Danio rerio: one gene and its partners. The protein of the gene in region 5 interacts with the protein of the main gene of each other region in a biochemical or structural test. Links are inferred from orthologs where the notes say so. Each region holds a gene or a part of one and is shown on either strand. Other genes may lie near its edges.

Region 1 (3,500 bases), on a different chromosome or scaffold from region 5:
ATCCCTTTATAAATTGTTTACTAAAGATTAGAACTTTTAACTCTATGGTTTGTTTTAGGATCCAGACCTGTCCTCGATCTTGCTGGACAGCTGCTGAAGAATCTCTGCCGCCTGTCTATGGTAGTTGACTTGAGCTTGGACCAGAGCAGAAAGCTGACTCACTTGCTCAATCTGGTGAAACACAGTTAGAACATTAATAACTGTAACACATGAACACAAATAACGCCTCGATGATCACATATGAAGTTCAAGACTAGCAAACAATGGCTACATTTACATGCACCCTCACAATGTAATTACGACAGTACCATGAAGTACTGCAAGCGAGTTCATGTAAACAATACTGTGGTTATGATGAAGTTCATGTTTGGAGTTATCATAAGTCACAGTAAAATATGTAAAGCACTGCATTTTTCATCTGACTAAACGCTCATGCATGGGTCGAAAACATGCTGGATCAGAAGAAGCCACACTTCTTGGCATCATGCTCTTAGATGTTCAGAAATATACCACCTTGGCATTTCCGATCACCAATAAAACACATGATGCCCATGTTATGTAATGTTATATGCATAATCTCAGATTTCTGAGCTTCCCAGAAGTGTGGCTTCTAGGAAAAGAGGGAGACCGTGTACCCTAGGACTGGCCAACAGGTCCATGTACGCCAGGAGCACTTGGAGCCTATTTTAAAGCAAAAACATCATAACTCTTAACAAATGATCCTAATAATAGCAGGAATCATGTAAACGGCACTGAAAAGGTTTGCCCGTGTCATGTTAACATCTTAATCATTACTTTGAGTATTGGCAGCAATCACACTGCCAACCATGTAAACATAGCCATTGGATGAGATGCAGTGATTAATGGAAAAGGGGTGAAACCTGTGAGATAAGAGGAAAGAAAGACTCACTGGATACAGCATATAACACAAAAAGCACAGATAAAGTACAATCAGAGTCTACAGAAGCATGAAATGGATGGTGAGCAAGGGCAGGCACAGGACAGGTCACAGATCTTACATCGTTCTCCAGAAGATTAAACATGCTTTGTTCGGCAATCTCCTTGGAGTCGTCAAACTTCTCCAGGGCCTGTTTGATCTCATCCTCTGTGACTTTTCCTTGCCTTTTCTTCTTATAGTCAAAGTCCAATCGTCGCCCCTCCAGCTTCTTCAGGTGATGCTGTCATGAAACATGGAAAATGAAAATGTTGCTGTTCAGTTACTGACCTCTAGTGACATTCCGTCACACCAATGTTAATTCTAATGCAGTGCCTCCATTAAAGCGTTAGTTTAACAGAACTCACCCTCATGTTGTTCCAAACGGCCTGAGATATTTATTCATTTTCTGAATACAAATTAAGACACTTCAGGTGTAATCTGAGAGCTCCCTCATCCTTTATAGAAGTGGTCACCAAACTTGTTCCTGGAGGGCCGGTGTCCTGCAGATTTTAGCTCCCATTTTCAAGCTACAAGAATACTTTTGTGCGCACATAAAGAAAATTGACTTTAATCAACTGTTTCTTCTCCTCAGTGATGGTAAAGGTTGCACGATCACATACTGTGCTTGGTCGTGCCACTGATGTATTAACTCAGATGCTTTGTTTCAAAAAGCAGAAGCTGTAGACAGACACTGGGGGATTTGGGTGATATATGTGTACAATAAACAAACATTGATGATAAGGTTGAATAAATGTATTTTTTTTATGTTTATTCTTGTAGCTGAATTTCATTCATCGAAGTTACCTTTCTGGACAATTTAGGGACCTTGCTGTTGACAGAAGATGAGGGAGCTCCACCTAAAATCTCTTCATTTGGATTGACATGAGGGTGAGTAATTAGCATGATTTTTACTTTTGAATGAACAAACTCTTTAAATGGCTGGGACTGTGAACTTTCAAAATTGGGCTAAATAATCATGCCACTAATCTAAGATTCACAAGCAAATTTTAAATGTTTAAGTATAAATTATGCTTGTCCTACAATTCTGAATAGGCAAAGAAATTTGTTTTTATAAAAGTTATTTACTAGAGTCTCTGAATTGTTAATTACTGCAATTAATTAAAAAAAAAATTTAAATTAAAGATTTATTTTTGAATCCGAATGATGATTCATTTATAAAGTTCTTAATTCATTACGGAATAAATTAGACCTTGAACCAATATCATGAAATAATGATTCATGGTTGTTTATGGGGAATACTGTTCTTTTACTTTTACAAGCAGTAACATTGCCAAACTGAACCTCGTTCATGCAGATCCATGAACATGCATGCACACAAAAACTAGCACAAGAGTATACACTAAATGTAATATGGTTGTTTATGACATGCTAGTTTTTTTTGTGAAAAGTACACTTGTGTAGTTTAGCTGAGAGAAGGTACAATATTCAAAAATGTTCACTTTGAGACTCCTTTTCAAAAGTTGAATTACTTCATCTTGAGCTACTATAGAAATTAGAGTGTATATACGGAACAAATAACACAGAAATGATGGTATTATTGTGGTTGAAAGGCTAAAAATATAAAACCCAATACAGCCCTAATTAACCTTGGGATTAAATGGGTCTTTTTGCTGATGTGCATAATGGGATGAAGCACTTTGCTGGGTGTGACGTTCTGTATATTGTTTTCTCCCACACCCAGTCCAACAACTTCACAAAAACAATCCACATTTAAATGTGAAAACTGAAACAGAACATTGGCACTGGAGCTATTTATATGAGTTGTAATGGCAAGTCACTAAATGCCATGATTAATGCTAGGCTGTGACACTAATTGAATTAAAATGCAGCTCAGAACTATTTCAGAGCATTTAAATAGGTCTGGATTATGTGTTTCCAGAACAATATACTTTTTTACAATTTTTTTTTATTTGTATTTTTTCTATTTTGTAATTTCTATTCTACAATGAAATTCCACTATGCAAAAGAAAAGCAACTACAATTTTACCCCCAGAGGTCCCAAAACAAGATTTTTTTTTTAAATAAAAGAGTCTTACAGGATGACTGTATTTAATGACAAAACTATTGCTTTTAAAGAGTTTTCATGTCTCACCTGGATTTCCTTTAAGTCTTTATCATGAATATTCTGCAAGGGATCAATAAAGTTTTGTTTGACCTCCATGTCTAAAGCATCTTTTACTTCACCAAGCTCTCGCATGGCTTCTCCAACATCAATCAGAGCCACCCCTGTGAGACACAAGAGTACAATACATGTTTTACTTTCAGAGGCAAAACTGTTACACACAGATTTCTTAATACAAACATCAGGGTATTCATAAACGTAGGGTTTAAATAGGTAGCTAAAGAGCGTTTTAGGAAAAAGGCTGCAATTGAAATCACCTTGGTGTGTGTGTGTGTATAATATATATATATATATATATATATATATATATATATATATATATATATATATATATATATATATATATATATATATATATAAATATATATAATATTTCTTTTTTTTTACCTTTAATAACAATATAAAAAAGTGCTCTAATCA
Region 2 (4,133 bases), on a different chromosome or scaffold from region 5:
TACGCAGCGGATGCCCCTTCAGCTGCAACCCATCACTGGGAAACATCCATACACAGTCATTCACACACATACTCTACGAACAATTTAGCCTACCCATTTTACCTATACCACATGTTTTTGGACTTGTGGGGGAAACCGGAGTATACAGATTATTTAAATAGGGCAAATGAGTTAATTAACCACCCCTAACCATGTACATATATTTTGCAGCCAGTTTAGGTGTAGTTTTGCCCTCTCCGAGTAAATTGAAAATAAACTCTGTCTTGCGGCTGTGCAAAGCGAAATCAAAAGCCGAATCTCGGACATTTTAGAAGATTTAGACACCCTGAAATGACGCATTATTAAGTCCCCAAAAGGCGAGTCTCTGTGGGTCTCTGCGGAACACTTGAGATTGTGGGACTTTTGACAGTTCTTGTGCACACACAATGAGAAGTAGGAAACATGTAGGTCTAGAGGAGATTTTAAACTAGTTAATCGATCACGGATGTTTGGCTGATGTGCGGACACAAAAAGAGGATGATAATAATAAAAAAATTTCACCAAATATACTTGGGTGGCTGTTATTATATCTGGATGGCCCGCCCACGTGAAGTCTATGTGTGGGAAGCACCGGTTGTCCTAAAGTAATTAATTAAAAATACAGATGCTTAAACACATCCAATAGTGACAAGTTTCTTTTTTCTTTTTTTTTTTAAATAAACAGATTTAGGAATAAATCTCTTCGAATATATGTCTCAAAGCATTACTGTTCTCTGTCGACAAAGTTTCTGATTATTTACATGCTCATGAAAAGATAAAATAAGTCATAAAAATACATATCTTTTTTTAGCCTTTCTGATTTATGACCAAGCCTTCCACTATAATTTGGAGAAAACAAGTACAAAATAACAGAAGATGCAGTTAATTAAAATAATGACAATGTTTATTTAAGCAGTTGGTTGTATTTTTTTTTTTTTTAGAAATAACATATTTAAATGCTTTTATGCAAGATAAAAATCAATAATAGAAATCAATTTCTATTGTATGGAGAAAAATCAATAGTGTATTTACTTCTGGAAGCTGCTGTGCTCTATATAAAGAGAATCATCTGAAGGGGTCAATCTACATCCAGTTCATCACCCCCAGACTCTGAGGTTCTGGAGCAGTACAAGAGACATTCTTAAAAGCTTTCAATAGGATAATGCCATACAAAATAGGAGGTGTTTAAGTGGATACGATCAGTCCATCAAACCCTCCGGCATCTTCAAGAAGGGAAAAAACAGGGTCAGTAGCCATATGCAAATCAAGACTTCACTTAAGGGGAGAGGAGTGGCACCAGCTGTCCGACTGATAGACCTTTACCGCCTCCTCCATCATTAATAACATTTCAACAACCAGGACTACGGCTGCCAGACAGATCTAGACCTTTGAACCCCAAAATGTGCTTCACAAGCTAAACACTGATGTTTTGCGTCTCAAAATATGAAAATGGCATTTCCTTACAAGGTTTGCATGTATGAATGTGCAAAAGTACTTTATGGAAGATATTGTTAAAAAAGCAGCTGTGTGAAAATAATATTGCTTTAACTAGAAACAGGGGTGAGGGGTAGTAGTCCCTTATTATGGTGGGCATATCCCTTATATTTACATCCCAATGTTGACAGGTATTACCTAAAATCAACCAAACTTTGACGTGGTAATTGGACATCAAAATAACATTGTCCTTAGACGCTGGCTAGACATTTAATTTTGGTCACCTGACGTCACAACCTAAATCTAACCAATTATTAACGTCTTATGAGATTGTGTGCTGGCTAGGGAATAACCAAATGCACTACAGAATGTTACGTTTACACACATCCACAAATTATATGTGAATGCATCAGCCTTTTATAGTATAACACTCACTACTCTTGAGTACTTATGAAAGGTTTACTTTTCACTCATAATTTGAGTAATATTCACTTTTACTCTACTTACACTCCATTTTAGGCAAGTAATACTTTAACTTAAGTATCATTTTAGTACTATTTGCTATAGTGTACTCGTGTATAACGCACGTTTACTCAAAAACTACTCGAGCCGATTACGTTCATTTGGTGCACGAGTGGTCATGTTTAATCGATTCAGTAAAACGAACCGACTCAAAATAACGATTCGCTGAAGAATCGGACATAACTGCCGAATTAATACGCGTCAGTAATACCCAAACGTGCAGTCTAGTTAACGTTAGAGAGCGAACTAGCATTTGAAGCACAACCAACCACATTTATGACAGAAGGGCAGCACTTCCCAGATTTAAGATGTGGAATTCCCTGTCTATATTTAAACACAGAAATCTCCTATCACGCATATAAACACGTTCACTTGAAGTGTAAATAAAACTGGAGGCCGCAGCAGTTCACAACACACTGCTCAACAACAGTACTCTAAACAAAGACGTGTAAAGCAACCATAAATCACCCATATAGCGATTTCAGCAACGTATAAACTAAATCCTAATAATGCCACCATTAAATATATTGTGAAACCCTCAGAGTTGTATGTAAATTCAAGCTGGTGTAAAAAACAAAGCTACTTACTCTAGGTGAACAGAAGCAGACTCCACAGCGCACGTTCCCAATCCGTCCCGTTTTCCCCTTTATCCTAAATATAAACACTAGTCGCTCATTTCCTTGGGCTTTAAAAGACTGTATACATCGGCGTACATCATCTCTGTCGACACCGATTGGGACCCAGTCGGCGTGTTCATGCTCAGCGCCTGAAATCCCCACTGAAAGGGAACTAGCAGCCAGTGTGTTGTTGTGTATCAGGATGAATCAAAGAGATGGGAAAAAATCTGTCACAGCCACAATCTCTGTGTGGGTGAACAAAGAGCCACACGGCCGCCTAGCGGACAGAGAGAAAGACTACAGCCGCAGAGGATACACCTGAAATATAGTCAATGCATTTCCAATAAAACATATGAAGTTCACATGTAAAGGCCTCTTAATGTCGTCTGATATCTTCTGCTAGAATGAGTAGTTTAGACGCCTCCTTGTGTAGATTAATTAATTTCACTTTATGCTAAAGAATAGGTTTTATTGTCTTTAACATGAAATATCAACATTAATTTATTCATTCATTTTCTTTACAGCTTAGTCCCTTTATTAATAAGGAGTCGCCACAGCAGAATGAACTGCCAACTTATCCAGCATGTTTTATACAGCGAATGTCCTTCTAGGCACAACCCAACACTGGGAAACACCCACTCTTACAGACACTCTTCTATTCACACTCATACACAACAGCCAATTTAGTTTATTCAATTCACCTGTCTCGCATATCTTTGGAATGTGGGGGAAACCGGAGCACCCGAAGGAAACCCATGCTCACAAGGGGAGAACATGCAAACTCCACACAGAAATGCCAACTGACCCAGCCCCTTGGCTCGATCCAGCGACCTTCTTGCTGTGAAGCAATCGTGCTAACCACTGTGGCACCGAAATATTAACATAAACACACACACACACACACACACACACACACAAAAAAGCTAATTTTGAAAGAAATCTTCTGGATTTAGAGGTTTTTGCATCTGAACTCTTCATTTGAAAAGTTTGGATATATAAAGATTTGTTAATGTTTTTGATTTAGCTTCTTTTTGCACACCAAGGTTGTATTTGATATATAATAATCTTGAAAATGACAACTATATAATAGTAATAATATTTATTGAATTAATTTTTCTTCGGCTAAGTCCCTTTATTCATCAGGGTTCACCACAGCGAAATGAACCACCAACTTATCCAGCGTATGTTTTACACAGAGGATGCCCTTCCAGCCACAACCCAAAACTGGGAAACACCCGTACACTATGGAAATGCCAACTGACCCAGCGGGGACTCGAACCAGTGACATTCTTGCTGTGAGGTGACTGTTAACCACTGAGCCACTGTGCTGCCAGTTATAATAATGTTAAATTATTATACAAATACTATTAGAAAACATAATAATAAAAACATATTGAATGCCTGAGAGAAATTTGACATTGAATCACGAAATTTTCATTTAAAATGTATTCACACACGATGCAAACAATTAAAATTGAAATATTATTTCACAATATTAATGTTGGAATGACATTTTTGATCAAACAAAAGTATTTTAAATGT
Region 3 (4,040 bases), on a different chromosome or scaffold from region 5:
ATCACCCTGGCTACGTTGTTTCACTTTCTTAATAAAATGAAAACATAAGAAACAGCCTATTTTTATTTTGATATTAGCAACTTAACAGACAGCAGAAATGTTGAGGCGCTGTGTAGCTACATGTTTATATGATGTCATCTTCACTGTATGCATAACAAAACAGAGCCCATGACATTACTGCCTCCTTTTATTGTCATTCACGGTACGAAACATGCCCTCTCTGAAGCTGAATATCAGTGTTTTAATAATCAATAATGGCCATTATAAAAGTATAACGTACAATAAGTTTAAACAATATAGGAAATAAAGGCAAGCAATCAGTCAAATGTGCAGAATCAGTGTACGCGCTTACATAAACAAATATATTAACTTATCTCTGCGCTTGGCTAAAACACATAACCTGAGAACAAGTAATAGATTTAAAAGACCAAAGTCGGGGAATATGTGGTTAGATATAGACAACGAGATAAATTAAATATCACGTTTAACAAATATAGTGAGACTAGATCCAGCGGTAGATCCTTGATGAACAGTCCGACATGCGCTGCTCTCATCTGAGTAGATGACTGCCTGAAGCTCAGACGTACACATACGCTGCATCGCATGCCTGAGTGTGTGTGTGGTCACGTGATGTGCATTTTCAGTGCTGTAGTATGGATGGAGAGCGGTTCAGAAACTAGGTAAACCACTAGTGTGGATGCAGATCATTATCAATCTAAAACACCGTTTTAAAACTAAACGTATTAGTGTAAACGGGACCTGAAGCAGGCTATTAAACTGAATGACATTAACATCGATGGTGTAAAAGAAACCTTATGAAATTGAAAACCGTCACGTTAAGCTTTCACCAAAAGTTTATCATTGGCTGAAAAACACTAGCTGTGCATTTAGCCCATTGTTCCGGTTTCATTTACGACTTTCCAACAATTGACATGAGGATCAGCATATTGCGCATAGTTAAAGCGACAGTGCACCCCAAAAATCTAAATCTTCTGACACTCAAGTTACTCCAAACCTTTAGGGGTTTCTTATACTCCATTTAAAAAGAAAATGTAGATATTTTTAAAAATGTTGGACACTGGTATCCAATGTTCGCCAGTGGCAAAAAGTTTCTAAGGGTGCTTTCACGTCTGTAGTTGGGTTCCTTTGGTCTGGACGCAGGGCAAAAATTGATACACTGTAGCATTTTCTTCTGTTTTTGGGTTATTTGTACACCACACTGATTGCTTTGGTCCGAATCAGTAGAAAAGAACCAAAATTGAGTCATCTGATAAAATCCACATCACTCATTGCCAGATATTATTGAACACATTTCCTAAACTGCTTTTCGATTGGTCAGAATTCACGTGCGGGATAATGCCAATGCCGCAGTTAACAAACTGGTGAACACAACATGTCGCTTTTGACTATATGGAGCTACGACTGCGCTGACTGATTGTATCCCTGCTTATAGTATACTATATAGTTTGAATACATCACTATGGACAGACTATACATTTCGAAAATGAAATGCGGCTGGAAAATGTTTTAATGCATTGCAAACGGCAAAGACGCATCGCACGTCACTTCAGGAGGAGGCGTGAATTAATTTAGCTAAACTGCAACATGGTCATCTTCCGGAAATATTACCAACGATCCATCAGGTAATGGTTTTCCCTCTCTCTCTCTCTCGATAAAGCGCTGTCAACAAATATTTTCCTACACATTCCATGATGCACAGCACATCGGCCTACGGCAGCTGGATTAGTCCAAAAAGGCGCAGTACTTTTTGCGGTTGGGTCAGTTTAAATTCGGATCATAATTCACCACAAACGAGGTCTGTTTGAAAGTGCACCGAGACCACCTCTTTCAGGAGATCTTGGTATGCTTTTGGTGCTTACTACAGTACGATTGCTACACTGACACCTGCCCAAACGAGCCACACCGAGAGGGAAAATGAACTCTAGTGCCATTTAATCGAACTACATGAGGCAGGTGTGAAAACACTCGAACACTCTTTAAAACAAGCTCAAAACTTTGGAATAAATTTGAAGGTGAACAAATTATGAAAGGAATACTTTTCACATTTTGCAGCAGTTAGTTAATCAGCAGGACGATAATTTTACATGTCTAACGTTACATGGCTTGGCAATACCTTAAGATATGATCGCTAAACATCTAGGAATGAAATGTCCCACGATATGACCTATTGCGCATGCGTCGAACAAGTATACTTTGAAATGCATCACATCAGACTATGATAGTTAAAAAAAAAAGTTTACATAAAGCTTTGTCTTTACTAACTGTGTGGAGCGAAAATGTTTTTAATTTTTACTTACTAGGACATGTCCAGCAGCTGGTCCAGGTCCACACCTCTGTAGGTGAATTTCCTGAAGGTACGCTTCTTCTTCTGCTCAGTGTCCGCCTGCGGGAAACACAACCACTGTTAGCCGCTGCTGGGAGACATTACCGCGACTCTCTCCGTGACTTCAATAACAAATAAACGACTAAATACGTTAAAACGCGGTGCTTCATAACGCCACTCAAAAATAACGTATTAAAAATTCCCGTGGATCCATCATGCCGGACTGAGAAATGCAGCGCAAGACTGAAGCTGCTAATCAGACGAACATCTACCTAATCTTTCATCCCAAACACTTAAATAGTGGCCTGGTAACATTCACTAAATCTTAAACACATCTCACTCGTGTTTAATGTTCTGATTCGCATTGTATATACGACAGATTGCTTTGGATTAATGTGATGTAGCTATTCAGAAATAAAGACATGAACCTACCATCTTCAGAGACTACCGGAAAAGGAAGAAAGCAGGAGAGGCGCTGTAATATCGCGAGAGTTCCGTCATTCTTCATGACGACTTTGGAAAGCCGCCATCTTGCGGAGAGGAGGAGGAAGTAAGTTTTTCACGTAAAAACAGAATATAAACAATGTATATAATTGAGCCTGACAATATGCCCAGAAAAGACGTAATAAGTGGATCAAATGTGACCACATGTAGCCTATTTGCTACAGCAATTTTGTCTAAAGTAGACCTAAATGCTGCCCTTTTGAATAATAAAACAAATACCACAGATGATGTTGCAGATGTGTTGCAGCACAAGAATTTTCTTTAAAACGCAATAAAATATATTTTATTTAAAAATGTTTGCATTAAATGAATCGGTCAATAATAGTAGCTTCAGTAAAGTTCCTAGTCTTTGGCTTTGGTGAGTTCAAGGCTTTAAAAATTTCACTGAGCCCAGACGTTTGACCAGCACGCACGCACGCACACATAGATATGTATGTATGTATGTATATATATATATATATATATATATATATATATATATATATATATATATATATATAGATATAGATATAGATAGATAGATAGATAGATAGATAGATAGATAGATAGATAGATAGATAGATAGATAGATAGATAGATAAATATTATAATACATTTGCGAAAATAAATTGATACATCAGGTGGAAATATTAAATATAATTTTAATAAACAGATAAAAGAGAAACATAAATAGTAAAACATTGTTTTGTTTTGTTTTTTGCAATGACCTATTTGAATTTAAATGTAGGCCTATTATCTTTCTATTTCTAAAGTTGTTCGGTGACCAAACATTATAAATGTTGTAATTGTTTAATAAATCTGTTTAGTTCAAATGCACAAAATTCCCCATATACCCATTACCCAACAATGGACAAAAATGCTCATTTTCAAAAGGGGTTGGACTCGTTTATGCATTTATGTATATACAGCCCATTTTGAAAATGCATATTTTTGCCCATTTCTCACTGATTATGTGTAATATATATAGGTGCATTTAAACAAAACGGATTTATTAAACAAGATATAATTTATAAAATAATATTTTCGTCACAGAACATCTTTAGAAATGGAAAGAAAATACACTTAAATTCATGAAAATAATTTGCCCAAAAAAATGATGAGAGAGAGATTATTTCTGGTTTATAAGCTACCAAAAATATATTTATTAAATTCTAAATTATAATTTGTCTTTATGTGATATATATATATATAT
Region 4 (4,036 bases), on a different chromosome or scaffold from region 5:
TATATTTGTTTGTAAAATGTAATGTACAGTGTATATTACAACTGTAAAAGTCTAACAGTGTATATAAGAAAATGGCCCACAGTGGCATCTCTTACCACACTAAATGTATACGTATATGGCTATGCTTTGATTCATGCGGTATTTCAGCTTTGCGCATTAGCTTCAACTCCCGTCTTTGTATGGAAACAGCCAATGATGACGCTGCATTTAAAGCACATCTGCATCCTTTGGCTGCTCTTTTTTACAGGTGCAATCTCCCACAGCTATATGTCTAGCTAATCCCAGCCGGTCAAGCTCTCCTCTCTTGGGTGGTTTGGGGGTTTTTCCTTCTCTTTTGGGTGTTTCAGGCCTAAGCTTTCAATCTTTCAAATTCCTCCGACCACAAACGACCCTGTTGGACAATGTTCTAAATGATTAAAGGCAAAAACCGCACTCGGCCCAATTTGAGGTTTCCAGTGTGTTACATAAAGCAACCCCTAATTACACTCTGGGTTTTGTTGCCGCTTTTGGAGGAACCAGGGTGGAGCGAGGTCTCTTTCGCCTCAGCTTCGTGCTTTTTACACCCTGTCATCCACCTCCAAGGCTTCTGTTCTCAAGCTGCTGTTGTCTTTGGCGTGCTGCATGCTATCCAAGTCTGTAGGACGCAGGAATGTATCCGAGGAATTTCAGAAGCTCTGGTCAAGCAGTCGAAGAAGAAGAACCAGGTGTCGGATTGCCTTGCGCTTCTCGGCCCATGTTTTGTGGTGCGAGGGAATTTGCTCAACATTTTCTGCAGCGCCAGATCTCGCATATTGTAATGACAGCCATGTGCAAGCGGTTTCACAAGACTAACTAGCAAATAACAGCCACATGGTAGATGAGTTTGACAATTTCTCAATCTCATGTTATCTGTTGGAGGATTGCACTCGAGAATTACACCGTATGAGTGTATGCATGTCTACACTGTTAACAGTTTACTGTAGGATCTACAGTAACTTACTGGCAGCAATTACAGCTAAAATACTGTATTTACTTGCTGTAGATGCATTTACAGTATATCTTTACTGTAAAATATACACTCATTTTCATAATGCAAGTTTAAAATACAGTAACACACTGCATAACTGTCCTACAGTAAAATACAGTTCATATTACAGTTAAATACTATTTAATTTACAAAAAATATTAACAGTAAACACATATGCTGATATTCATTATGATAATTTTAATGCACAATATTGATATCATGATCACTTCAAAATATCATACATGGTTATTTATTATTATTTAATCTTTTAGAGTGTTTTTAATTAATATTCATAGCAGTGCCAAATAACTAGAGACTTAATTGGTTAATTAGCTTAACAGTTCGAACATGAACATTGTCACATGTAAATCTGGCCTATACATGCTGAAATATTAATTGGAAGTTCTATTCATTGTACATTAACACTGCGCAATAAGTAATAATTAACATTAGTTCATTTAACTGTCACTGACACGTATACGTGATGTTAACCTCTTAGTTAATGCCTAATAACACATTAAATTCAAAGTCGTAATCTCATTACAGGTCATATGTGTTAAATAGTAAAATTCTGTTGTATTTTGTAAATAATATTAACATAGTAACTAACAGGTCTGTCTTTTTCTCAATTTATTTGAATGAAATAGCTAACGTTTACTTTGAGACTTTATTGTAAAGTGTTGCCAATTGTACTGTAGTAATACTGCAACACATTAATTTTATATATTGTTTTCTTAATATCCTATTTAAAATAATGAGTAATAAGACTTCATTGTGAAGTGTTGCCAATTGTACTTTAGTTTTGCAATTTAATTTGCATTGGTTTACTCTGCACCAGTACAGTACTCAGCATATACTGTATGAGTACACCCCATTTTGAAAATGAATTTATTTCACAGTAAATATGGGTAATATATATTGGTTCATTGGAACAAAACTGATTTTTAAACATATATTTAATAAAATAATATTTTATTCACAGAACACTTTTAGAAATGAAAGAAAATACATTAAAATTTTGCAAAAAAAAAAAAAAAACCTACAACATTTCAAGAAAATTGTATATTTTTTTGTTTCTCTTGATTTTTGCTAATTTTGAAAATTTTATTTCGTATTTTTTCTTAACATAAATTTGGCCTACTACTTTTTAAACCATTATTGTAAGTTATTGTGGTAGATAAGCTCCAGATTTGGCTTTAGTACTGACTAATCTAATGTATAGGCACAAAAATAATACTGTAGAGCTTATTTTCTATAAACCTATAGAAAATATTGATTTACATGAGAGATTTGTGGGGGGTGTACTCAGATATGCTGAGCACTGTAAATACAATAATGCAATACATTAAGTTTATATTATTTTGTTATTATTCTATTTATAGTAATGAGTCTTCATTGTAAAGTGTTACCAATTGTACTTTACAATCCTATGCAAATGAATCTGGTTGAAACATATGTTTACTCTAAACATGAAAATGCAATACAAGGTTAAAGTTTTTTGTGCAGCTTAGTTTAATATCATGAGAATATCCAGCCTGGTCTCATGTGGAAATGTACGTATTTTACATTTTGTCAGTTTGGTGGCTAATTGTAATGTCATATACAAGCTTAATTGCAACAAGAAAATCTGATACACACACATAAGCCCATGCATGTCATTTTTAAGCCATTTGTTTCATGCATACAGTATGCCGTGCTAGAAATCCATTTTTACCTGCAAATGAATGGTTCCCTGTTATCCTCACTCTGCAGTTGCCGTCCTGAAGGTGTCTTGACCTAAACTGTTAGTCAGCTTCTGGGTGGTGCAGTGTGTTGCCGTTTTGGTCTCCTCTCTCTCACTCTCTCCCTCTCCTCTCTGTCTCGCTCTTTCTGCCCTTGAGGGTTTGCTTCTCGCAGGCAGGACGTCTGCTGGACAGCTGTTTCAGAATTCTTCCTCTGAAGCGGTGCAGCGTGTCTCTGCTTTGCTTTGCTCCTCCTTTCTCCGCCTGCAGCACCTGTCCCTGCCTGTCTGCGGCGTTGAAATCCAATTCTCTGGTCTTCTGAAACCCCGACCCGCCGGAGCTGCGGCAGTATTTCCTGGAGAGACAGACAGCGCTCAGTCACGGGAGGACGACGAAAACCAAGAGTGTGTGGAATCTCTCCTAGTGTGGAAGAAATACACCATCCCTCCTCTGCCTTTTTTTATCTTCTCGCTCTCCACCTTCTTCCTCACACTCCTCTCTCTCTTTCACACACATTTTTTTTCATTCTATCTCAGTTTTCACACTCTTTTACCACCTCTGATTTGCTTTTGGTCTCACTTTCTGCATTCTGTTTCTGCCGACCTCAGCATCTCTACTTCATTTGTATGCACAGCATTTAAAGTTGCTGAATCTGAGAGGTGAAATGCAACCATGCTAGATAGATGTTCACTGTTTGTTGTAAATAAAATAGTATTTAACTGTAATATGAGCTGAATTTTACTGAAGGACAGTTATGTAACATATTACTGTATTTTCAAGTTGCATTGGGAAAATGACTGTATTTTAAAGTAAAGGCATACAGTATTGTAAATACAAATGCAGCAAGATAAATGTTGCTGTAAATGTAAATAAATATAGTATTTTTGCTGTAATTTCTTTACAGTAAGTTACTGTAGATTCTACAGGACACTGTTAACTGTGTATATATAGATAAATAGATACTTTCAGTACAAGCTGATTCTCATTTCAGTTGCAGTGTAAACCTCTTTGGAGCTTAATAGAGTGTCATTAGCCCCTTTCACACATACAGACCTTTCCGGAAAATTGCCGGCAATTTTCCGGAAAGGTTGTACGTGTGAACAGGTCCTTTTTGAAAATACCGGTAAATTCGTTCTGGCTATTTTCCGGATACAGAAGTTGTAACATTACCGGCAATTTGCCGGAATGCTGCGCTGTGTGAATGCAGAAGGAAGATTCCCGTAATAAGCGCGTGCACGTCTAGAACGTGCTGACGTGAGACGTCTGCTTTAGCCAATCACAACAGTCAGACGCATTTACGTCCGCGCGG
Region 5 (3,618 bases):
AGACAGTTCTCATAATGGGATGAACATGGTCAGCAACAATACTCAGGTAGGCTGTGCTCTTCTGCTGCTGTAGCCCATCCGCCTCAAGGTTGGACGTGTTGTGTGTTCAGAGATGCTCTTCTGCAGAGCTGGGTTGTGACGAGTATGACGATTTGCTATCACAGAACTGCCGCTCACTGGATATTTCCTTCATTCTCTGTAAAGCCTAGAGATGGTTGTGCGTGAAAATCCCAGCAGATTAGCAGTTTCTGAAATACTCAGAGCAGCCCGACTCAGACCAACAACCATGCCACGTTCAAAGTCACTTAAATCCCCTTTCTTCCCCATTCTGATGCTCTGTTTGAACTGCAGCAGATCGTCTCAATCATGTTTACATGCCTAAATGCATTGAGCTGCTGACATGTGAAATTTGCATTAACAAGCCGTTGGACAGGTGTACCTAATAAAGTGGCCATTACATGATCAGGACGTTTGTTACAATGAATGAAAAAAATACTATTATCATACAAAATGGCAGCTTTATTAAAAACATACGTGGCATGCAGCATTCGATTATAAATCATAATAATAATTACATTCCCACAAATCACAAAAATGTAACAGTGAAGGGTCATTTCAGTAACCAAAATAATCATAATCATAGCTTTTAATCTATGGCTTATGCTCCAGTTATAATGTTTGTGCTCAACTTCATGAAGTTAATTAATAATAAAAAAAATAATAATAAAAAAAAGGCTCGCTGCGGACATCATAAATAACATGATTATAATAAATCATAAATTGTGTAGTGTGGTTTATTAGCTTAACGTAAATCGCTCCAGTCTCAGCAATAGATTGTCTCCACAAACCATATAATGTCATCATGTGATATATTACATTGCCTTCATTCACAATCTCACAACCAGCATTAATGCTTTCATTATTAATGTATCATCCATTAATGGGGGAAAGAATGATGACTGCTGTAATGCATTATCACAGATGCATTGTATATGGCCGCCTCCTCTTCACATGGCTTTAAACCAATAATAAATAAATACTACAAAATAATAAGGCTAACATAATCAAGTGCTGTTTTGGTTCCGTCCTCATATGAGCTTCCATACAATCCGAATCACAGCTACATCTGAGATACGAGCTACATTTATGATATATTCACCACAATGAAAATTTCCCTTGGCTATTTAAAGAAGCTGAAATGGATTTCGGGTCCCTTTTCGTGACTAGTAAAGCTGTGGTCGCATTAAAAGCTGCTCGGAGACATTTTAAACACTCTTAAAGGGACAGTTCACCCGAAAATGAAATGTACTCGCTACTCTGTAAACAAAACTACCATACATTCAAGTTGTTCAGACACAAATCGATTAACTTAGTGTGTTGAACATAAAACGCAAGTAAAAAAGCAAGTTTTCCCGAGAATTTCAGTTGTTTCAGCACATTTTTTATGAGTTAGTAATTGTATTAGTCTAGTTACTCTCCCTCAAGTGGTTCCAAACCTGTTAAGAGTTTCTGTTTTCTGTTGAACCCGAAAGGAGATTTTGAAAAATGCTGTAACTATTGACTTCCATAGTATGAAAAACAACATAGAAGATATTTGGAAGAATGCTGAAAACCTGTAACCATTGACTTCTCTTATTCAACTAAAGAAAGTCAGTTTAACAGGTTTGTGACTAATAATTAATGCCGTAGTTTTCATTTTTGAGTGAACCATCCCCTTTTTAAAGCATTTCCACGCTCAGCTACACGCTGGACTTGGGGTTTTTTGTGCACAAATTCACCTGATGCTGTTTAGTTTGACAGGGAGTTGTCGATGGCGGATTTATTCTGATGTTTTTGTGTGGAGATGGTGTTTAATTAAGCAGCGTTTCTCTCATTCTGCGGGTGGTTTTGTCTCGGAGCTCACAGTGTCGCATCAGATCTCGAGCCTCCAGTGGAAGAGAACTGCTCCAGAGCGTCAGCACAGAGTCCTCCGCTGAAAACACACACACAGGTCATCAATGACTTTCCTTGTGCTTTTGACACTACATTCACTATCAGAAGTATTGGCCACCTTGGCATATATGAGCTGAAGAATTCACAGACATTACCTTTCATTGTAATTAAAAATAACGAGGAAAATGTAAAAAAAATAATATTAATAAATATAGCTGCAAGCAGCAATTAAGGGGGCCCCAAGCACTTTTGGCCAAAAAGTGGCGCTGCTTCAGAAGTTTGAGAGTACTTTCAGGGCATGGGGTTGAAGATGTGTACCATGTTTTGTGATGATATGTGAAGTTGTTGTTAAAATATAGCATTTTTGGTCAAAAATCGAAATGGTCGACGCCCAAAATGGCTGACCTGTGAAAATCAGACATCATTCGACTCGACATGCTCTGCCGGATGTAATGAGACCAGTTTTAAGAGTTTCGGACGAAAGGTTGAGAAGTTATAAACCAAAAAAGCAAGTTTGTATCTCCGGACCACTAGGGGGCAGTGCATCAAAACTCCGCATAACCTCAGACCCTAGTTGTCATAACACACACCAAGTTTGGTGTGAATCGGTGCATGCGTTACAGAGATATCGACTCAAGTCCATTTTCGCAAGTTCTACGTTAAATTTGATCGCAAGTTAAACGAAAACGCTTGATCTAATCAACTTGAAATTTTGATTGTAGCCCATTCGGTTCAAAAGTTATGATAAACATACGTGAATGTTTGGACAAGTGGTGGCACTAGAGTTTGATTTTGAGACTTCATATTTGGTCTGATTAATGTTTAGACTGTCCTCTATGATTGTGCCAAATTATACAACTTTCCCGCATACGCCTATATGGGCTGCCATTCAAATCCGGCGAAAGAAACAGAAGATGAAGAATGCTAACGAAAGCAATAGGTGCCTATGCACCTACGGTGCTTGGCCCCTAATAATATAAATTCCCCAAATACAAAGTGGTCAAAACTATTAGCACCCCTAAACATTCTTAAAGGGCTAGTCTGTCATTACTCATAACTTGAGTATAACATTCTGACTTCTATTAATTAAATCAAAGGCATGGTTCACCCAAAAATGACCATTCTGTAAGTGAAGGCATAGTTAATACAGAATAGTTCATTGAAATCTCTTTGAATATATATTCATTCAAAGATACACTGCATCATGTAACGTTGTAACAACTACTTTTTTTTGAAGCTACATTAAAGAAATTGAGAGACCACAAAACAACTTTCAGAGATTCATGTGTATTTAGAAATGTATATGACAGCAGGTATGAATAATTATTGTTACACACTGGGGATATGAAATGATCAGCAGTCAACTCATTAATGATCACTATTAGACAGAAATAAGCATTCGATAAGTGTCTCTCATTGAATCCAGTATTTATAGCAATCCAAAAAAGATACCAACAGTCCTTAAGTGAATCACATGAAAGATCAAGTTCAGCAAACAGTTCATCAATGGCTGGCCACGGAATCAGTAGAAAAGTGGATGGAAAAAGTCTGTGGATATGAGGATGGATTGTCCAGGTCCTGTTTTGATGACTTAAAGTGGATACCAAAAAACCCTCTGCATATAAACAAACATACAATCAAAACCTTACCAACACCACACAAAACATATGTACAAAACCGAAATAT
Region 6 (4,101 bases), on a different chromosome or scaffold from region 5:
GACAATGATTAAAAAGTTTATGTATATAGATCATCTGAGCTAAATGTGAACTCGCTGTACTACAGTTAAACAACCCAGTTTCATAAATCTTCATGTTTTTGTTGTCCATAAATGCTTGATGAGAAAATTAAGGCAAATTTGAGTATTTTAACTTCAGCATTTGATCCCAAACTATTCATGGTTTAAAAGTCACCACATTTTTTTTCCACTGGAATTTTACTTGTCCTGGAAAGCAGCCTTTCTCTTCTCAACAAAGGCAGACATGCCCTCCTTTCTGTCCTCCTAAAAATGAGAACACAACAAGTTTAAGTATGAAGTCATTTTTCTTCCTCAAAAAAGGAAATGAATAAATGGAAGAAAAGTGACGCACCGTAGCAAAGGTTGCATGGAACAATCTTTTCTCAAACCGACTGCCCTCAGCTAAAGTCAGTTCAAATGCTGCAGACAAAAGTCATTAAAACTGTCAAAACTTATACATATACATTTTTTGTAGTCAAATTTGGATGCATGAATCTGTTTTAATTAGAAAAGTGCATTACCGGCATTAACAGATTCCTTTGCCATGGCTGAGACCAGTTTGGAATTGCCAGCGATTTTCTCTCCACATTTGATCGCTTCTGGAACCAGCTGATCCACAGGAAATATTTTACTAACCAGGCCTACATAGAAGAATACATTAGTTCATATATTAAAATAAGAAAAGAAGAAAAAGGCTGTAGTGCAAAAGTAAATTTAAAAGACAAACCAGACTGTTTTGCCTCCTGGGCTGAGATTCGGTCTCCAGTGAGAACCATCTCCATCGCAAGGGATTTTCCAACTGCTCTTGTAAGCCTCTGAGTGCCACCAGCACCTGGAACAATACAAAGATGAAATGTTGTGATCTGTAAGTATTGCATTTATATTTCTTTGTCATTTGTAAATCTGAAAAATCATGAAAGGATGCTTTATTGTACCAGGAATGGTCCCAAGCAGGATTTCTGGCTGTCCGAACTGTGCCTTCTCTCCAGCATAGATGATGTCACACATCATAGCAAACTCACATCCTCCGCCAAGCTGGAGAAGACATTATGTTTATGCCTAAATGTAAATTAATGTTAAAAGTCTTTTAGGTGAATGCATTAAAAACATTTACCCACCGCAAACCCATTGACCGCAGCAATAACAGGCTTCTTGACTGTTGATACCCTGTTCCAATGTGCCAAGAAGTTTCCACCATAACACTCTTGGAAGGTTCGATTCTGCATCTCTTTAATGTCAGCACCAGCTATCAAAGCAGATAAAACACACAACAACAGTTTCAAATCAGTTCAATACAACACAACTGCCTTCACCTACAGTTTCACACCTGCAAAGGCTTTTTCACTCCCGGTGACGACGATTGCTCCCACTTCACTGTCCATCTCAAATGCATCGAGCGCTTTGCCCACCTCCAGCATGAGTCCATCACAAAGAGCATTCAGGGCCTTTGGTCTGTTCAGCTGGATGAAGCCAACATTCTTCTTTTCACCCTTTTTGTCCACCAGAATGTACTCATACTGGACACCTGCAAAAGACATGAAGGTAAGGGTCAAAGTAACTCACACTGGCTCCATATGATTTTTAATAAATGATTATAAAAAATACATGATCTCAGCATTGCTGACTCAGCTTTTAATTCTGGAGATATCCCTAATAATCTCATTAAGACAGGGGTCACCAACATGGTGCCCCTGAGGATCACATGAGTTGCCCGTGGGCCTGTTATAAAATTAGCTTACCATAGCACCACATACCAGTAAGCTGCATCTAATACTTTTTGTAGCTATTCTTTTTAAATCACACTTGCATTGATTGATATTTATCTGTTTCCAATCATTGTTGACAACTATTGTGATAAATCATTAACATGATTATTAATAACATATAATTAAAAGTAAATTGAGCAAATTTGTTATTAGGAAGTGTGTATCAAACTGGTAGCCCTTCACATTAAACGATACCCAAGAAGTAGCTCTCAGTTTATAAAATGTTGGTGACCCCTGCATTAAGAGTATACATATATCTCTATAATTTCAAATTTAAGTTTGAAATAAGTGTTTCAAATGAAACAGAAGCATACATGAAGCTACTACAATGCAAAATGCCTTTTTTATTTATGTTGATCAAAGATTATGAGCGTTCTTCAAATTTTAAGTAAACTCTCCATCTATTTGCATTGGTTGTTACAATTTATTATCGCTCCTGAGTGAAAACTGTTCAGAGTCTGACTCTGACACTAATTTTATTTCTTCATATAAAGCTAATTGTTCCTTATAACTCTCAACATTGAGGTACATTTGGTTTCATATTCGCACATTCGTTCAGTGACAGCTCCTTATATGTTGTTTACCACAGTATTTTGAATATTCTGACTAAATTAACATGCAAGTATGACTTCAAAACATTAGCACTATTTGATTGACTGTGAACAGTGGTGTACTTTGATAGTCAGTGGCTGCTTATATTATTTCACAACTTAGAATTGAATACTTTTCTGAAATTATATTATAAAAGAAGAAAGTCTAAATGTGTGAAAGTAAGACCAACTTTACCTCAATAATACTCTCAAACACATTCAGCAGTAACGTAACAAAAAACCAGAGCAGACAAATGACGCAAGTTTCCATTCACAACAAAACTCCAGATCCTGAAAACGAAGCGATAATTTTTATCTACACATGATTAAATTACCTGAACTGGATTGCCTTGTCGCTGCTAAAGCAGAGGGCAGCAGTTTGCTGTGTTTGAGAAGTAACCCTGTTGATCTGCAGAGCAGCGCCATGGTTGTGTACAGGGTCAAGGGTAGCGCTGCTGAAGTCGCGCTGGTTGGCTGTCAACAGTGACGTCGGCATAGTCAGGATGCCAGGTAGTGTAACAAAATCCCTCCTTTCTGACAACCGCTTACAGTTCTAATCAAGCTGCTAGAACGAGGCGAGTAATTATTTAATCGTATTAACTTTGTATTTTCACAACTATCCACACCCAAACCTGCAAAACAGTCACTGCCAATGACATAAATGACCTTTTATGCGTTCATTTTAGCCAATGGTGTATGCAATGGTCTATTAGTATTGTTACTTGTTATTGAATTATAGTTATTATTAAAGCACACACATACTATTTCATATTCTATTTGTTTTTATTAATTAATATTTTCAGATAAATATATATTATTTTATTTTACATTATATTGTAAAGAATTTGCACTATTATAATAATGTGGGGTTCTTTCTGTCAACTGTTATAAAACTATTTTTGGTAAAGGGGATACTATAGATACATTTATTTAAAATACAGCTCTCTTTATACATTAAAATATACATTGCAAGTTTCAGCTTTCTTACTTATAGGTAACTGAAGTTTTTTCACACTATAAAACTATAATCAGTTAATAAATATAAGCGTTATTTTATATCCGAGAAAACAGCAGCTTCCCCGTTCAGTTGTGTCTGTTTATAGCGCACTGATGACCAGATTAAAGATGGCGGCCGCGTTGACGTATCAGAGCAACACCGAAGCAGACCACGAGGCGTCTAGCTATTTATTACATATATATGATTTAGCCTATATTTTGAGACACTAAAGTTGAGACTACATTGCTCTCTGGTGGCCTTAACTGAACTATATATTTTTCAGAGATTACATACATGTTAGATACAGATTATATATGTCTGAAAAATAAGACACACATGCATAAAATAGAATATAAACATACAAAAGTTAATCAAACTAAGAATTAAAGTTGCTATTATTTACTCAAAAGATAATATAATCAAAAGATAGTGTTACAGGGACCCACATACTTAAAATTATTAGTATTATTATTATATTCTACAGTGCTTCACGAAAATTGCGCACTGCACCTTTAAGATAATTGAATAAGGCGGCGTATTGGCGTTGCTGTGGTTACCATATTCAGTGGCGTTCTAAAAAAGAATGTGTTCGAAAAACCGTCGATGACGTTGAGAAACTGGTGTGACCTGCATTAAGTTTCTGGCCATCGCTGACATTGGACGGTATGTAAAGATCTTTCTAAAATGTAATTTAGGTTATTATATTTGGTTGTTTCGATGTGCTTTTGGT
Region 7 (3,500 bases), on a different chromosome or scaffold from region 5:
CATTACTGCTCAGTAGAACCTAAAGCAGAGAATGACAAAACCAAACCAAACTCTTCAACAACTTTCAAAATATCATTCAATAGCGTCTGCTGTCACTTTTTAACATACACTACATGGATAGTTCTGTACATAAAGATTTAGGTTTACTTATTGCCACATCATTTCATTAAATCTATTTCATTGAGCATCTTCAGAAATACTTGGTTGAATATTATAAGCCTAAAAAAATCCATAAAATCGGCTGTTTGTAAGATTTCCCTCATTCATGTAATAATATTCCTCTTCATATGCTTGTGTAACCCCGCCGGTCCTGCGATACCAACCTGCTCCGAGCTGGTATCGATCCAGCGACCTATCGCATGGGAGTCGGGTGCTCTACCAAGGAGGCTAAAGACCATGGCCTCTAGCGTCTGTCGCTAGAGCACCTTTAGAGGTCAGAGGAGTGAGGTTTACCTGCACACACTAGCTGGAATCCGTTACTCTCACCCCCCTAAACCTCACTCACATTCGGGTCACGGCACCAATGTAACCCTACCGGTCCTACGCCACCCAACCCGCTCCGAGCTGATTTCGAACCGGCGACCTTCCGCATGGGAGTCCGTTGCTCTAACAAGCAAGCTAAAGACCATAGCCTCTAGCATCTGTCGCTAGAGCACCTTTAGAGGTCAGAGGAGTGAGGTTTACCTGCACAGCACACACTAGCTGGCATCCGTTACTCTCACCCCCCCCCAAACCTCACTCCCATCCAGGTCACGGCACCAATGTAACCCCACCGGTCCTACGCCACCCAACCCGCTCCGAGCTGATTTCGAACCAGCGACCTTCCGCATGGAAGTCTGTTGCTCTAACAAGGAAGCTAAAGACCATGGCCTCTAGCATCTGTCGCTAGAGCACCTTTAGAGGTCAGAGGAGTGAGGTTTACCTGCACAGCACACACTAGCTGGCCTCCGTTACACTAGGGCAGAGTAGAATTGCCCATATTGTGTATTGTACCGTGCATTTCTGTAAATCTCTAGTGTATAATGTGCTGTAAAAATGAAGGTGACAAAGGAATAGTCCCCAAAATAGAAATAGTGATACTATTCAGTTTTCAAATCAGATTTTCCCTCATTCTTGAACACAGTAGAAGATATTGGATCACGGAAGGTCATCCATGTGACACCAACTTAAGCCAATTCATAGGATGAAATCAGTTCCTGTCACGTCATCATTTTTTAGAAGTTCAAAGGCAGTAGTGCTGTCATTCTCACCTGCATACGGGAGTCAATGCCCATGTTTTTCAAGAAAGATCTCTGTGTGATGGGTCCCAAGCAGATCACCTGGTCACCTGCCATTTTCCTCAGGTAGCTGAAGTCCACATCTGCGGTCAAATCTGCCAGGCCGGGTGCCTCCAATACATCATGGATTTGATGGCCTTTAAAACCCTGTCACAGGAATGAATTGTAACAACAAAACATGGTGAAAAACACAAAATAAATGATCAGATCTAGCAACTAAAAATAGGCCAATTATTTGCAGAATTAACGCAAACAAAACAGTTTAATCATCCTGACCACACTAATACTAACAGCTGGACACTGATTAATGGCTAAACCCTGCTTAAAATGACACTAGATAACATTTTATATCTGTATTTTGCATGTGAAAACTTAACATGCATTTCCTTCTCTTGTATTCTCTGTGCTCAACTTCTATTTTTATGCAGTAAATTTCCAATCAAGCTGTTCTGTATGGATTTTATTGTAAGGTAATGAAAATGAAATAGTTTGTGACGTCAAATACAGCAAGAGACATTCAAATACATGTAAAACTAGGGCTGCACGACATAGGAAAAAACTGTCATAGCAATATTTTGTATTTTTGCAATATACACTCGCCAGCCTCTTTATGAGGTACACCTGTCTAACTGCTCGTTAATGCACATTTCTAATCAGCCAATCACATGGCAGCAACTCATCTTGCATGGTCAAGATGATCTGCTGCAGATCAAACCGAGCATCGGCGTGGGGAGGAAAGGTGATTTTGAACGTGGCATGGTTGTAAAGTATGAATCATCTCAGACTGGTTTCTTGAACATGACAATGAGTTCGCTGTACTCAAATGGCCTCCACAGTCACCAGATCTCAATCTAAAAGAGCAGCTTTGGGATGTGGTGGAACGGGAGATTGGCATCATGGATGTGCAGCCAAAAAAATCAGCAGCAACCGTGTGATGCTGTCATGTCAATATGGAGCAAAATCTCTGAGGAATATTTCCAGTAGCTTGTTGAATCTACGCCATGAAGGATTAAGGCAGATCCGAGGGCAAACGTGGGACCAACCTGGTACTACTAAGCTGTACCTAATAAAGTGGCCGGTGAGTGTACATTTTGATATGAATATAATTTACTTAAGTACTTAATTTTACATAAGTAACTGAGAAGAATTCACAGTTTTACAATGACTGGGATGATTTTTATTGTAGAGGAGTGCATCTGCATAAAATATCCAAAAATGTATATGAAATAAGTCATTAAATTTAAGCACAGACAAAAACTAAATGTTTTTTTTTTTTTTTTTTTGAAGGGTGGGGGTGTTGTTTGTTGGTGGAATGTTAGAAGGTCGCTGGTTCTAACCTCGGCTCAGTTGGCATTTCTGTGTGGAGTTTGCATGTTCTCCATGCCTTTGCGTGGGTTTCCTCCGGGTGCTCCGGTTTCCCCCACAGTCCAAAGACATGCGGTACAGGTGAATTGGGTAGGCTAAATTGTCCGTAGTGTATGAGTGTGTGTGTGTGAATGTGTGTGTGGATGTTTCCCAGAGATGGAAGGGCATCCACTGCATAAAAACTTGCTGGATAAGTTGGCGGTTCATTCTGCTGTGGCGACCCCAGATTAATAAAGGGACTTAATAAAGGGAATGAATGATTGAGTTGGATAACTCCTAATATAACACATTAGCTTTCAAATGACCAGCACAGGTCCGGATTGAGAACACCTAAGAGGGATTCTACATGCGGTACTTACTCTGAAAGTGTCAGTTTTTGTCCCATCATGCCCATAGTCTACAATTAAGGCTGCGCCTCCGTCCTCTGCGATCCGACTGGCCAGCTTCTGAACGATGACTCCAGCCTCAGCACACACTTCCACGTGCCGTCTGCTTTCATCTTTCTAAAAATCATCATTGACAGAAAAATATTTTCATAATACAACTTAAAACATGGTGTTTCCCAGTGATGGGTTGCGGCTGGAAAGGCATTCGCTGCGTAAAACATATGCTGGATGTTGTTAAGTTTATGCTGGATAAGTTTATATCTCGTTAATGAAGCTCTTACTACAGGGGTGTCAAACTCAATTCCTGGAGGGCCGAAGCCCTGCACAGTTTAGTTCCAACCCTGCTCCAACACACTTACCTGTAGGTTTCAAACAAGCCTGAAGGACTCAATTAGTTTGATCAGGTGTGTTTAATTAGGGTTGGAACTAAACGGTGCAGAGCTGCGGCCCTTTTGGAACTGAGTTTGACACC

The links.
Region 1: of the proteins of lrrk2 (region 5) and sh3gl2a, one has a biochemical effect on the other in vitro, tested with the Homo sapiens proteins (2 studies listed by BioGRID and IntAct). The link is inferred for Danio rerio from reciprocal best matches to the Homo sapiens genes LRRK2 and SH3GL2.
Region 2: the proteins of lrrk2 (region 5) and cuedc1b form a complex in vitro, tested with the Homo sapiens proteins (2 studies listed by BioGRID and IntAct, with this or other methods). The link is inferred for Danio rerio from reciprocal best matches to the Homo sapiens genes LRRK2 and CUEDC1.
Region 3: of the proteins of lrrk2 (region 5) and rps15, one has a biochemical effect on the other in vitro, tested with the Homo sapiens proteins (2 studies listed by IntAct). The link is inferred for Danio rerio from reciprocal best matches to the Homo sapiens genes LRRK2 and RPS15.
Region 4: the proteins of lrrk2 (region 5) and cdc42ep3 interact on a protein array, tested with the Homo sapiens proteins (2 studies listed by BioGRID and IntAct, with this or other methods). The link is inferred for Danio rerio from reciprocal best matches to the Homo sapiens genes LRRK2 and CDC42EP3.
Region 6: the proteins of lrrk2 (region 5) and echs1 interact on a protein array, tested with the Homo sapiens proteins (2 studies listed by BioGRID and IntAct, with this or other methods). The link is inferred for Danio rerio from reciprocal best matches to the Homo sapiens genes LRRK2 and ECHS1.
Region 7: the proteins of lrrk2 (region 5) and ndufaf7 form a complex in vitro, tested with the Homo sapiens proteins (2 studies listed by BioGRID and IntAct, with this or other methods). The link is inferred for Danio rerio from reciprocal best matches to the Homo sapiens genes LRRK2 and NDUFAF7.

The regions. Positions count from the first base shown.
Region 1 is NC_133176.1:28,387,946-28,391,445, forward strand, and holds part of sh3gl2a (SH3 domain containing GRB2 like 2a, endophilin A1), read right to left. Parts: intron 3,185-3,500; coding exon 3,051-3,184; intron 1,179-3,050; coding exon 1,020-1,178; intron 172-1,019; coding exon 68-171; intron 1-67. UniProt on the Homo sapiens protein: Implicated in synaptic vesicle endocytosis. May recruit other proteins to membranes with high curvature. Required for BDNF-dependent dendrite outgrowth.
Region 2 is NC_133190.1:33,835,355-33,839,487, forward strand, and holds the start of cuedc1b (CUE domain-containing protein 1b), read right to left. Parts: upstream 2,801-4,133; 5' UTR 2,562-2,800; intron 1-2,561.
Region 3 is NC_133186.1:6,052,589-6,056,628, reverse strand, and holds the start of rps15 (small ribosomal subunit protein uS19), read right to left. Parts: upstream 2,801-4,040; 5' UTR 2,780-2,800; coding exon 2,777-2,779; intron 2,405-2,776; coding exon 2,319-2,404; intron 1-2,318.
Region 4 is NC_133188.1:45,680,713-45,684,748, reverse strand, and holds the start of cdc42ep3 (cdc42 effector protein 3), read right to left. Parts: upstream 2,801-4,036; 5' UTR 2,721-2,800; intron 1-2,720.
Region 5 is NC_133200.1:38,184,587-38,188,204, forward strand, and holds the end of lrrk2 (leucine-rich repeat serine/threonine-protein kinase 2), read right to left. Parts: exon of another isoform or gene 3,204-3,618; intron 1,973-3,203; coding exon 1,851-1,972; 3' UTR 501-1,850; downstream 1-500. UniProt on the Homo sapiens protein: Serine/threonine-protein kinase which phosphorylates a broad range of proteins involved in multiple processes such as neuronal plasticity, innate immunity, autophagy, and vesicle trafficking.
Region 6 is NC_133188.1:27,793,886-27,797,986, reverse strand, and holds the start of echs1 (enoyl-CoA hydratase, mitochondrial), read right to left. Parts: upstream 2,801-4,101; coding exon 2,710-2,800; exon of another isoform or gene 2,017-2,709; intron 1,677-2,016; exon of another isoform or gene 1,557-1,676; coding exon of another isoform or gene 1,544-1,556; coding exon 1,346-1,543; intron 1,265-1,345; coding exon 1,137-1,264; intron 1,054-1,136; coding exon 954-1,053; intron 851-953; coding exon 746-850; intron 660-745; coding exon 540-659; intron 439-539; coding exon 371-438; intron 283-370; coding exon 217-282; 3' UTR 1-216. UniProt on the Homo sapiens protein: Converts unsaturated trans-2-enoyl-CoA species ((2E)-enoyl-CoA) to the corresponding (3S)-3hydroxyacyl-CoA species through addition of a water molecule to the double bond.
Region 7 is NC_133195.1:3,386,615-3,390,114, reverse strand, and holds part of ndufaf7 (protein arginine methyltransferase NDUFAF7, mitochondrial precursor), read right to left. Parts: intron 3,146-3,500; coding exon 3,002-3,145; intron 1,425-3,001; coding exon 1,251-1,424; intron 20-1,250; coding exon 1-19. UniProt on the Homo sapiens protein: Arginine methyltransferase involved in the assembly or stability of mitochondrial NADH:ubiquinone oxidoreductase complex (complex I).